2 linked regions of the Arabidopsis thaliana genome follow. The protein of the gene in region 2 interacts with the protein of the main gene of each other region in a pairwise test. Each region holds a gene or a part of one and is shown on either strand. Other genes may lie near its edges.

Evidence for each region. Proteins that work in one complex are often made in the same cells at the same time.
Region 1: the proteins of ALE2 (region 2) and GAE5 interact in a protein complementation assay, tested with the Arabidopsis thaliana proteins (one large-scale study listed by BioGRID).

Annotation. Positions count from the first base shown.
Region 1 is NC_003075.7:7,287,588-7,292,731, forward strand, and holds GAE5 (UDP-D-glucuronate 4-epimerase 5), read right to left. Parts: upstream 3,534-5,144; 5' UTR 3,262-3,533; coding exon 1,951-3,261; 3' UTR 1,605-1,950; downstream 1-1,604. Other genes in the region: AT4G12240 (zinc finger (C2H2 type) family protein), read left to right, coding at 308-1,402. UniProt on the Arabidopsis thaliana protein: Involved in the synthesis of the negatively charged monosaccharide that forms the backbone of pectic cell wall components.
Region 2 is NC_003071.7:8,754,371-8,763,039, forward strand, and holds ALE2 (Protein kinase superfamily protein), read right to left. Parts: upstream 5,929-8,669; 5' UTR 5,476-5,928; coding exon 5,403-5,475; intron 4,856-5,402; coding exon 4,751-4,855; intron 4,660-4,750; coding exon 4,549-4,659; intron 4,399-4,548; coding exon 4,030-4,398; intron 3,949-4,029; coding exon 3,691-3,948; intron 3,612-3,690; coding exon 3,222-3,611; intron 3,112-3,221; coding exon 2,886-3,111; intron 2,808-2,885; coding exon 2,105-2,807; 3' UTR 1,482-2,104; downstream 1-1,481. Other genes in the region: RIN13 (RPM1 interacting protein 13), read right to left, coding at 6,958-7,833, 7,922-8,008, 8,384-8,669. UniProt on the Arabidopsis thaliana protein: Required during the differentiation of the protoderm into shoots epidermis and cuticle.

The sequences.
Region 1 (5,144 bases), on a different chromosome or scaffold from region 2:
TATTTGTTTTTATCTTTTACTGTATTCAAAACAATAACAGTAATAACCTAATGCAGTAGAAATTTGATAATTTTCTATGAACAGTGGTGTGTTTTGTTCCCTAATAAAGTTAAGGAAGAAAATTGTAACATTTACAAAGTTCAGGGTTATAGGTGTTATATTTTGTATTTCAATTCGTCTTCTTCTTTGCTCCAGATTGAACTTACATGAGAATCGCCGAACTCTAATCGGATCCGGGTCGGGTATGTAATGTAAACCGGGTTTTTTGAAGCCCCCATCTTCTCCGTCGATTTTAAAGATCCCGGCGATGTTTTCAAGATTTGTCCTAAAAAGTTGGAGACCTAAAACCCAAACCACATCTCTCAATTCAATCAAAGGTTTTAGCTTTAGCTCTAGCTCGATAAACCCTAAACCCAAAATCCGAGTAGGGGTTTGGTGGGATCTAGACAACAAACCACCAGCCTCTTTCCCGCCTTACGACGCCGCCGTCAAGCTCCGAACCGCCGCGTCGTCTTTCGGAACCGTGAAGCTAATGATGGCGTATGCGAATCGTCACGCCTTTAGCTACGTTCCTTTAGAAGTTCGAGAACAGAGGAAAGATAGGAAATTGCTAAACAAATTAGAGAACAAAGGTTTAGTTAAACCACCGGAGCCTTACTTCTGCGGTGTTTGTGACCGGAGATTCTACACTAACGAGAAGCTAATTAATCATTTCAAGCAGATTCATGAGACAGAGAATCAGAAACGTATGAGACAGATTGAATCTTCGAAAGGACATCGAAGAGTGAGACTTGTGGCTAAGTATTCGATGAAGATTGAGAAGTATAAAAGAGCGGCGAGGAATGTTTTGACTCCGAAGGAAGGTTACGGTTTAGCTGATGAGCTGAAACGAGCTGGTTTTTGGGTGAAGATGGTTAGTGATAAGCCAGATGCTGCTGATAAGGCGTTGAAGGAACATTTGGTTGAAGTGATGGATAAGAGAGAAGTGGAGTGTGTTGTTTTAGTGTCTGATGATTCTGATTTTGCGGGGATTTTGTGGGAAGCTAAGGAGAGGTGTTTGAGGACGGTTGTGATTGGAGATTCGAACGAAGGTGCGCTGAAGCGAGTAGCGGATGTTGCGTATTCGTGGAAGGAAGTGACGATGGGGAAGGCGAAGAAGGAAGTTGAGAAAGTTGTGGGGAAGTGGAAGGATAGAGATGTGTTGAAGAAGTTGGAGTGGACTTATGATCCTGCTTTGGAGAAAGAGAGAGGTGGTTCTTGCGGTGTTTGGGATTACGAGTTTGATTATGATGATGAGATTGAGAATGGAACAGAGGTGGAACCTGTGGAGATTGGTGATGGTGTTGACTGGTGGAAGATCGATACTGAAGATGGTGTTGGATCTTCAAGAACTTGTCGATAACATCATCGCATATGTCGTGGTTGATTGCGCAGAGGAAGATAACATGGTATAGGCTAGAGAACAATCTTGTGAATCTATTGGCATATTACATAAACTTCAGGCTAGAGAACATTCATTGTTTCTTGTTATAAGATTATGCAGTGATTTGATTTGTTCTTCCAAACCATCATCGTTAGTCAAGTGATTAGAGCTATGTAAAAATTGGTCAGAATAAGAATAAATATATGTTTGAATTCACAAGAAACAAGTGACAATAGATTGAATTACTACAGAGTATATGCATCAAAATCCAAGCTACTTTATTCCTCCGACATGATGGAAAAGACAATTGAGTTTCGACAATTGAAACATCTAAGTGATGAAGCTGTACATTGCTCAAAATCTACTAACAAATAAATGAAGCAAAATCTAGCAACACAGAAACAATGCAGATACGTAAGTGATTTTTCCTGGCAATGCAAGTGCTCGGTTTCAAAAGCTTAACCTAGAGCGAACTCCAAGCTCAACAAGGGGAAACAGAGACCATGACTTAAGCAGAGAGACAGAGCTCACCAAGAACTCTTCTTCTTCGAGCCAGTGTAAAAACCCATATACCATTTCACAAACTTTTTCAAACCCGTCTCAAGATCAACCGCAGGTTTATAACCGAGCTCTGCTTGCGCTAACGTGATATTGGCATGAGTAAACTCAACATCCCCATTCCTCGGTAGAGGCATGATCTTTTTCTTAGCTTTCATCTTCAAAAGCTTCTCTAATATAGTCACAAGCTTAGTAACAGGAACAGGAGAAGTATTCCCCAAATTATAAATCCTAAACATAGCAGGACCTTTCTTCTTACCACCACTACCAGTACTCTTCTCAGCAGTATCTAACGCACCTAAACAACCTTTTACAATATCATCAATGTAAGTGAAGTCCCTAGCAACACTACCTTTATCAGGAGATTCAAACACAGTAATCGTCTTCCCTTTAAGAATATCTTTAGTAAAGAAGAAATACGCCATATCTGGTCTACCCCAAGGTCCATAGACAGTGAAAAACCGCAAACCCGTTAACGATAATCCGTAGATGTGATTGTAAGTATGCGCAATTCCTTCACCTGCTTTCTTCGTAGCTGCGTACAAACTCGCTGGTTGATCGGTACGGTCTTTCTCCGAAAAGGGTACTTTCGAATTCAGACCATAAACAGAGCTAGAGGAAGCCCAGACTATAGCAGGTTGCGGATTCGCTGATTTCGATACTTCTAATAGATTCACAAACCCAGCAATGTTACTGTTAACATATGAGCCAGGGTTTTGCATTGCGTAACGCACACCAGCTTGAGCAGCGAGATGCATAACATGTGTGAAGAGGACAACATCAAAGAGCTTTCTGAGTAAAACGGCGTCGTTTATATCGCCTTCGACTACGAAAACACCTGATCTTTCTAAAAGGCCTTGTCTTGCTCGTTTAAGCTTTGGATCGTAGTATCGATTGAAATTGTCGAGACCTAGAACACCATCGCCGCGTCTTCGTAACGCGATCGAGACGTGAGTACCGACGAATCCGGAAGCTCCGGTGACTAATACCGTTAAACCGCCGTGAGACCTAGGACGAGCGGATTTACGGACTTGTTTCTCCCAGTGAGAGCCGCCGTATTTCGCGGCGGAAATGGAGGAAGAATCGTTGAGATTCCGGCGAGATGGTGACGGAGGAGGAGATAAAACGAGGTAGAAGAGGAAGAGAGCGAGGAAGAGAGAAGCCCAAAGGGTGAGTTTTGAGAGACGGAGGTAACGGTGGTGGTGGAGAATCCCGTACGGTGGAACTTTATCGGTTTTGTACTTTCCGGGAGTAGAAGGAAGATCATCAAGGTGAGACATTTTCACCGGAGGAGGATTTAGAAATCGGAGAAAATGTCGATTAGGGTTAGGTTTGGATTTTTGGGTCTTAAGGAAGCAAAATTGAGCAAGTCAAAAATGAGAGGATTTTCCGGGAAAGAAGAAAGAGACGATCTTTTACTTACTTGTTGTAATTAAATTAAATGTGGATGGTTTAATTTGGTTAATGATGTAAATTTATTTATTTGGTTCAATCTTTAAGATATGGTAATAAGAAAGCTGCCAGAGAGTATATTTAGATTCATGAATTTTAGATTGCTTTTCAAAGTTAAAACGTGTTTGTAGATTGTTGACATTTGTATAGTTGTATTGCATTCTATATTGATCATGTTATGCATGTACTTTTGTACACGATCACATATACACTATTTTTACACGCAATAATTGTTTAATAATATTTACTACTTTTGCTTTTAACTTCTGTATTTCTTTGTTCCGATTGATAATAAAAAGAAAAATTATACAATAACAAAAGGTTATAAGAAATGTGAAATAACGGGGGTAATAATGATAAAAATAGATATAAAATCGATCGTATCATGTCATATATATAAATAATATCTTTCGGGATTAACTTTTTTTAGTTCTAATTTATATCGATTGACAAAAAAGTAAATAATACAAAATCGGTTATTTTTGAGGAATTTTATTACGAGTTATTTTTTATTTTATGAAATTGATCTGTTTTTTAGGAGGTAAACAATAAAATTGCATTAAAAAATGTAGTGATTTTTTTATTTTTTAATAAGAATTTTCTACTTATAATGTGAACAATACTATGTGGATACATGCTAGTATGTTAGCAATGTGAACAATATTCGTGATAAGTTAAATATTATTTTAATTTAGTTTATGATTGTTATATCTCACCTAACCATTATTTTCGACATCAAACGAAAATTAATGTTATATATTCCTAGTGTCATAGTAAAAGCTTTAAGAAATAATCCACATTTAATAAGATATACAAATCGTAATATACCATATAATCACGCAACACTGATATTAATCAGCTTAGTATAGTTAACCTATCAGAAAATTGATCTCTTTATAATAAAATTCTATTTCTTTATGGTAATAAGGAGCCAAATCAATTACTACCAAAATATCGGTTATGCCATATACAGTTAATTTGTAATTACTCTGGTTAGATTAGGATATTATCAAAATCAAGATTGACTTTGTCCTTCTAGCGATCATTAACTAATTTTACTAGAGCATAACCGGCTGGGTCAAAGAAATTTGCTTTTATTGCACAAAATTCTAAATTTATTTCAAAAAATTGTTGTTTGACGCTTGTACTAATTATCAAGCTAGTCCGTACACATCGTCTGATATACACTCATTTGGTTGATAGGAGTATTTTTCTCCTAGTCCTGGGCGTTTGGGTATTCGGTTCGGGTTCGGATCGATTTTTTCGGGTTCGGATTTTTCGGAACTATAATTTTAGACCCCGTTCGGGTATTTGAAAACTTCGGTTCGGGTTCGATCCGGTAAATTTTGGGTTTGGGTAGGTATTGGTACTTCCATTGAAAAATCCAAAAAGTAACCGAATATTATTCGATACTAGTTTATAACTACTATAATATACCCGAACATACTTGATACTAACCACATATACCATAAAACCTGTAAATTTGTAATAAAAAAAACTTAAAGTAAAATCAATAAAGCATGACATAATAAAAGTTTCATACGTTCAACCCAAAAAGCAAGATTCAAAACATCCAAATAAAACCATTCAAATAGAAGAAAGAAGTTCAAATCCAAAGCAAGACATAAAAACATCGTTTAGAATCGAATCCAAAGCATTCAAAGTAAAGAAAGAAGTTCAAATCCAAAGCAACATCCAAACATGATAGATT
Region 2 (8,669 bases):
AACGCAATATGTTTTCGATAAAGTCATTGAAAAAAACTCAATTTTAACAGTGTATAATGTTAAAAACATCTTTGTATCCACTAGAGTCAAAATAGTTTTTTCTAAAATTAGATATGCACAGACTCATCACGCGTGTGCCACTTGCACTAGAAGCATTTTGGATAGGAGGTGGTGAAGACATGAGACACTCTTTCATATGCTCATCCCTAGCAGTGGCTTCCACAAAGACTTGAAGACAAAGTTCACACCCTTTTTCAGCGAAAATGGTTTTGCATTTTTCTTTGAATGGTCGAGAGGGATGGTTCGGAACTGACATTGTTCAAAATAATCATCAATCAAACACCAACCCAACAAAAAAACAGAGAACAAGAAGATCATATAAGCTCAAGCCATACCGTGAAGGTGTTCTCGAACAGATTCGAATGATTTACAATGTTTGAAGCAAACCCCACACTAAGGCTGATGAATCGAATGGAACGCAATCTTGATGTGAAAAACATATTCTCTATAAGAATTGTACCTCTTGTAGCAAGCAACTCATTTCTTGGTTTTGCTCCCGCCGGCTTCCATGGCTTTCACACAACACAAACATGAAATTATGGTTTAGACACAAAAAACAAAACTCGGAATGATATGTTGGCTCAGTTGGTTTCTCTCTCTACTTAAGTGACTCATGAGGTTTTGTCTTCGGTACAATCCATTTTTTGTAACATTTTTCTTTTCTATATAACCACAAATATATTTTCTTCTTCTTTTTTGTTCGCTCATACGTCACATATACATATCAATTGGAAAATATTAACTCCTTATTTTCATTAGAAAATAAATCATTACAATTAAACTCAATACATATGACGATATGAGTTTCATAAGAAAGTAATATGAAAAACAATTGAGTATATAATTTTTTAGTATAAATTTTGCACGGTAATTTTGAAAATTTTAATAAATATTTAATTGATAATATAAGAAAAAAAACTAACTATTGATTAAAAATATTTAGCAATTAAAAAAAATTAACTTCTTAAAAAACTAACTATTAATATTATGAATACTAACTAGCAATTCTAGTTTCTTTGTTCTTTACTTTGGGTTCCAGTAGCATTCATTTCATGGTTCGTTTGGTCACGTTGATCTGATCAGTCAGATACTTAAATCGGACGTTCCTACATATTCCTCGATTAAAAATTATTTTGCTTTTGCCAATATAAACCAAACGCAAACGGATTTTAGCGTTTTGTCCTCAACTGTTATATCTCGAGAGATTAGATAGGTTTCATAATGTAGGCCCAATAAGACCTTATTAATTTTAAATTCAAAATTTTAAAATATTTTTTTCTCTTCCGTTTACTCAGCCACTGTGACCGTTGTTTGCTTAGCCCATAAATCGATTTTTGTGTTTATTGGGCCTACAGATTTTCTTTCTTTAGACTGTGTTGTATAACAAAATGAAGAAGACTCAGAAACTCGAAAGCAAGCTTCGGTTTGGCTGAAGTGGAAGGAGGAATTAAGAAGATATGGAGGAAGAAAGACAAACATATCAAATTATACTCTACGACTTTAAAGATCAACAATCCATGTCATTGTGTCCAATCTACAGAAGATACTAGAAATTAGAAAAGAATTACAACAGCTTTGACCAAGTGACTTGTTACCATTCACCAGCCAATTACTCTCAAGCCAGAATTTTATTTAACCAAAAAATATTTCGGATGTAAATTCAGAAAACCGGAAACTTAACAACGATGACCAAAAGCCAAATTTCTTAGGAACTTGAAAAACTAAAAAAAATTAGGTAATTACTAACTTCACTAAAATAAAATATATAAAAATGTTTTTTTGTGGGTGAGAGAGAAAAGGAGAGAACTAAATACAGGCGTCCTTCAAAATACAACCCTCCCTGTGCTTTTGCATCCTCGCAAAAACAAACAATTAAATCTCTATTGAGGATAATCATAACAACAAACAGCTCCTAAAAGAAATCAAACCGGAAATCTTTACCCAGATGAACCGAACCTGGCCGGATTAACCAGAACCTAACCATGCAGCTCAAGAGTTTGTGAGCCTCCTTTTCCCTTTTCTTCACTGTACATTTTCTGGTTTCTCAGAGCCAGTCACCATTGCCGGACCAGAGATGTCTAGACGACGACGGTCCACCGTGTTCGCTCATGCTTCCTCTCAGTCTAAAGAAGTTTCTTCTACTACGCATGGGTCTTAACGGACCTGATCTGTTTGGTAGAATAAGACCTCCTACTCTTGGAATGCTAGAGGCAGAGTGAGGCCGGTTCTCCATGTCCTCTAGTGGTCCTGAGCTATAATCCATTGTTATGAACGACGAAGCTTGACCATACCTTAACCGAGGTGTCAAATTCCACCAGCTGCTATCCGAAGGAGCCAGATCGCCTTTGAAGTCAGCAGAGTCTGGTACTGATGAGTCCTTTTGGCTGCAATAATCACCACAGGTCTCATCTGCATCGTTGTATATAAGTTTTAGTGCCTGCACAACTTCACCCATGAATGGTCTGTGTGAGACCTCTTGGTGGACGCACATGGAGGCAATCGCAGCCACTTTCGCCATGTCATCAAAGTTGTAGGTTCCAGCCAATGCAGGGTCCACCAGTTGCTCCAGGCCCTCTCTGTTGGCTAGTAAGGGTCTCGCCCATGTCACAAGGTTTTCCTCTCCCGAAGGTTGAGACATGTCTACTGGTCTTCTACCGGTTAGAAGCTCTAGTAGAACTACACCATAACTATAGACATCGCTTTTAACAAGGAGATGCCCCGTCATTGCATACTCAGGAGCCACGTACCTGAAATTATTTCCAGGGTAGTCACTGTAAGTCCAGAGTGTCTGTATTCATCATATTTGAGTTGGAAAGAAATTTTACCCAAAGGTCCCCATGACTCGAGTTGAAATATGTTGACTTCCTTCGGTTGCTTCTCTTGCCAGTCCAAAGTCTGAGACTTTTGGGGTAAAGTCATCTTCTAGGAGAACATTGCTAGCCTTGAAATCACGGTGGATTACTCGGGGATTTGAATCTTCATGGAGATAAGCCAGTCCTCTCGCTGCTCCAAGTGCAATCTTCAACCGCGCATCCCAATCAAGCGTTCCTTCTGTTTTGTCAACAACCGGAAAGCCAGGTTTTAGGTGGTGATGCAACGAGAAGTGATGGATATAATTGGGATATATTGTTATTAAAAGTGCAGAGAAAAGAATATGTCACCGTGTAAGTGGGACTCAACACTCCCATTGTGGACGAGCTCATAAATCAAGCAACGTGTACGACCTTCAATGCATATTCCAATCAGTTTCACAAGATTGCGGTGGTGCAAACGGCTTAGCATCTCGACTTCGGCAATAAATTCACGGTCTCGATTCTGATTGTCCCTAGTTAGCAGTTTCACTGCAACCTCAGTTCCATCTTCCATACTCCCCTGATAAACACGACCAAATCCGCCCTCGCCCAAAACCCTCTTGGCACTGAATCTATCAGTAGCCTTCTCAAGCTCGGAGAGTGTGAAGGTCTTAACTGATAAAGCACATGTAGCCATGGAAGACATCAAAGAATCTGAGCCTGAGCTTCTGGCGCTACTGGAAAACATAGATCCAGCACCTGCAAGGCGAATAAATTTTTCAGAAACAGGTTCTTTTAAAGCTATAGAAGCGTTAAGAAGTCAGAGGGTGAAAATTACCAGGCCTTTTGTTAATCGATGGAGCCAAAGCCGGACCAACAGCATTAGATGACTTCCCAATTTTCTTCCATTTCACGATTATAGAAATAGCTCCAACCAAAACCAGAATGAGGACAAAACCTGACAACGCAATAATTGCAATCGTTCTAAAACCTATTCCCTGGCTTTTGTTGGCAAAAGTTGTTGCATTGATCGGAATTGGAAGGCCTCCTGGAGCATCTCCAGTAACATCTCCATTTGGCGAAGAAGAAGGAATTCCTGAAGCAAGGTTAAGAAGTTCAAACTTTGAAATAAAACAAAAAAAAAGTAGAAACTTGCATCTGAATGAAATCAGTTTACCTGGATAACTTATGTGCGTAACCTCATAATCACCAAAAACAGTCTCATTTAGAGGTACTTTCTTGTGCCGGAATCTCTGATAAATAAGTGTTGCTGTAGTGTTGTCGAACTTTTCCCCAAGTGGAACAAGGTTAATATCCACCACTGTTTTCCCTTGATTTTCACTGTCGGCACTGGCACCCATTATTTTCACTTGGCTTTGTTCCAAGTATGTTCCAGCAGCAACCTCAATTTCTAACTCGTTGGTCACGGGGAAAATAGAAAAAGGTGCGACACTTAGTAGAAGCTGAACTTTCATGGGGAAGACACAACCACAAGGTGAACCAAAGGGAGTTGAAGTGAGAGGCTCCACACATGTCTGCTGACAGTCTATCAAAAGGAAAGCCGGAAATACACAGGAAAAAGTAGTTACTACGCTTGATTTATCAACTGAAGTCTGAAGAAAAAGTATTCATATAAAACATTATCGTTGCCACTATAATAGGACGCAGGATAACCAACAAGAAGCAAAAGAACTACCATGTGACGAAGGTGACACTGCAGTGGCATTGCGTCTTAAATGCCAGCGACGATGACGGTGATGACCCTTGTGCCTTAGTGGTGGAATGCGACTTGGGTTGGGGGAAAAAGCTAAAAAGGGAAAGACAATGAACAATGAATACTCCTAGACAGAAACATAATGACACTATGTTTAGGTGACAAATAGGATTCCCTTACTGACCTGGTGAAGGTGTAGGAGCAACTGATGGATTAAGATAAGGATGAAAGAAATGCATTTGATGCGCCTTTGATCGGGTAAATGGCAAACTCATCGGAAATAACCGAGCTGCAAATGATAAAGCAAGCTGATAAGTCATCTATAGATTCTTTCTACACATGTCGAATATTCATAGCAGTGAAAAGTTTCGAAAAAATAGAATGTTTCTAATAGTATGCATACTCCATCCTCCTCTCTTGGGTTTAAAAGTATAATGCCAACTGTAGAGGATAAAATTTGGCCAAGAGAATGTCACACAAAATCGATATTTCCTCAAGATACTCAGAAAAGAAAGAGTAAGATCTATGTGCATTCTAGCTATTAAAAGGTTGTGTGCCAATTAAGGCACAAAACGTGAGGACTTGATCTTCACTCTCACGCTTCACAATCACAGATTCCAAACTTAAATAATCTAAACTCTTTTGCTTACTTTGTACATAACCAAAATTAGCTTCTAAATATATCTAAATCCAATAAACAATTCTAAATATAGATAGACCACCAACTAATCTTGAGCTGTCAAAGTAAGAGCAACTTAACTAAAGGTTAATTTCTCCTATCAAAATCGTTTCCTAAATTTGAAAAGGGGAAAAGAAATTTGTTAACTAGTTCATACCAAAGCATATAGGAAACGAGGCGAGAGAGTGAAGAAGAAGAATTAACAGCAGAAGCATCGCAAAGTTCCGCATCTCTTATCTCAAATCAAAAACCACCATTAGTCAATAACGGAGACACCAAGCCTCGGCGAACACTCTCCGCCGATCAAAACGAAGACTAACCAGAACCAAAGGTGTAACCATATAGCTTCCTCAAAGCTTCACAGACATTGATTTCTCCCTCGTCCCGAAAAAAATTCAAAAACCCTAGGGTTAGAGAGAAGCGAGTAGGTTTTAACGCGATTTTGACAGATCCACGAAATGCGGCTCGAGATCTGTACAGAGCAGGGAAGCAGAGAACGAGAGCTTCTCCGACGATAGAGAGAACGAGAGCTTCTTCTCCGGCGAAGGTATCAGAGTGGTAGAGAGAGATTGGAAGCGAAGAGAGTAAAGTGAATTCGAAACCAGAAGAAGCGAAGAGAGAGAGAGAATTTAATGCTGATGGTGGGAAGGGGGCGTAGGGTAGTGTGTTGCCGTAGTGAGACTGCTTTCGGAGAAAGGCAAAAAAAAAAAAAAAAAAAAGGCGATGATGATGGCGTTAGCGAACACCGACGCGGTTTCGTATGCGCGTGGTGGCCACGCACATCGAAACGACAAAACTGGTGGCCGTTTGCTACCGTCACATCGACAAAACCGTTTCTTTTTTGGGCGTTAGTTGCCTTATTGGGCCGGGACTTACTTGAATTTTAGCCTACTAAACGGAATCGTTTTGGGTTTGATTTTTTTTTTTTTTTTTTTTTTAAAAAAAAAAAAAAAAAAAAATTAAAAACCCCAAATGGGCTGGGCTTGATTTCTATAAACTTGGAAACTAAGTATTTTCGGATTTTACTTTTGTTAAAAGTTTATTTTCGAAATATTTTACATTAAAAAGTAATAGTAATAATTCCACAAATGACAAGTATCAACTCTCAAAACTATTCCATTTTCGTGTTTGTTTCCAAAATTAATACTATATACTTGGCAAAATTTCCTATACTTTTAAGAAGACTTTATCAGTTATTTCCATTGTTTCTTTTTTTGGGTCAAAAATTCAATTGTTTCTAAAATATTAAAAGCTAACTAAATGATGGTAGAAGTAATTTTGATCCAAAATATAACAATGTTTTTCCGGTTTTGATAAATTTGGACTATTTGTCTATTAGGCAAAATAGAAGTTTGATCAAATTTAATCAAGACCATATGTGTGTGCCTCTTTCTATATCTATCGCTTTTCGATTGTTGATTGTCTTCTTTTACATTACATGGATATTTTCCCCTCCCTAATCATTTAAACAGGCAGTGATAATGATGGTATGTTTGATTTTTGACCTTAAAAAACTCAAATCAACAAACATTATTTATGTCAATTGGCAAACAGGTACTTTTTAGGACTTAATTTTATGATGTACTAGTAGCAGCTAATTAAATGATACACACAATCGAGATTGTAATAAACTACAGCACTCCCTCTACAAAATACAATCAGTGAAGAGAGTTAACCTAGGGACGGAGATACAAACTACCCTTATGAATCTTTCAATCATTCAAAAATGTTTCAAAATCAAATGACAACGTACTAGCATAGTCTTGATTTCCCGGTTCAGGTAACGGACTAACAGGGCCGGTTGGGTTAGGATTTTCCATTAGCCATTTCTCAAATTCCGATAGTTTGGTCTCCAAGACGTTTTCATTAATCCCTGGTTGCTGTTGTACCGTAGCTGTATGCGAATCTTCAGCAGTAAGAGGAGCTTTGGACGGAGCAAACCGATCCACATTTGTCTGAAACTGACGATTTCCACTACCACGTATGTTCTGGTCTGCATGTCGAGTGAACACGTTGCTCTGAGAACCAGGTAGCGCTGTGCAATGATCACGAACATTGCGTTGTTGAGTGTACGTTTCCGGGTTTAATGTAGGTGCCACTGTGGAAGAGCTATGGTGACTGGATTGTGAAACTTGAGCATTGTTAAATCGGATGCTGATACCATTTCCCGCAGAAGAGGCTACTCGGGATCGTAGGCTAAACCTATAAGAACTTCTATCCTTTTGGATCACGCTGTCGCGAACAGTGCTTAATGACTGTGCCGGTTGACTCTGCAACCCTTGATTGTGCGGAATCGGTTGCCTGATTCTATGCCTGGCTTTGACACTTGAAGGATTAGCAACACGGGTAGATGATGAACAAGGCCGGATCTCAACATGGTTTTTCCGAAGCAAAGTGTTTTTGGGTACCCGTAAAATACTTGGAGTAGGTTTTGAAGATGGTGCGGTAGGCATGTATCCTGTCCTGAAGTATTCACGTTGATTCTTCCATATCTTCTCTTTATCATTAGCATGACAATGATCTATGGAGGAGACAGCGATACACCAGTATGGACACGGAGCACGGATGTCACACACATAACAATGACACTTGAAAGAGAAACCAAATGAAAAGGATCAGCCAGGAAAAGAATCCATTAACGCTCCGTGTAGAATTAGAGAATATTTAGATACTTACCATGTCACAGTACTTCTCATGTGATGTTGAGTTGAACGCATACTTAGCACACGAATGTCGCGGATGAGGGAAATCTCTACATGCTATCTACAAAACAAAAAAAATGCTTTTTCATATTAGGAAAACTTAAGTGAACAACACTTGTATAAAGATGGAACACACCAAAGAAAAAAAGTTCATCAATGTTACACCGATTAAATTACAATAACACAAAACAGTTCAATAACTATCCATTCCTAAAACAGTTCCATCACCAAAGAAAAAAAGTTCATCAATGTTACAACGATTACTTTACAATAACACAAAACAGTTCAATAACTATCCATTCCTAAAACAGTTCCTCAGAGCTAAACAACACTAACGCATACATAATCTGAAATGAGAAACTCTGCCTTTCACACCAATTCGAATGAAGAAAACGAAAGAGAACTTAGAAATGAGAAGGGTTCAGTGAAAACATACCTCACCCTTTTGACCCACTACAAGCACATCATCATCATCGTCGTCGTCAACTGAAGTAGTCTCCCTCGTCTTGTCGGGATCACAGTCCAAAATCACACAGTCGTCATCATCTTCCAAAGCTTGATTCGACGAGTTTGGCTTCCGATACTGAGAATTTACACCACCTCTAACCTCAGAAAGAACCTCGACTATATCGGTACTGTCAGATGTATCATCGACGGGTTCCATAACACCGTTTAGCCAATCGGTGTATTCTACGTCTCCCCGTGTATCGACATCCTCTTCG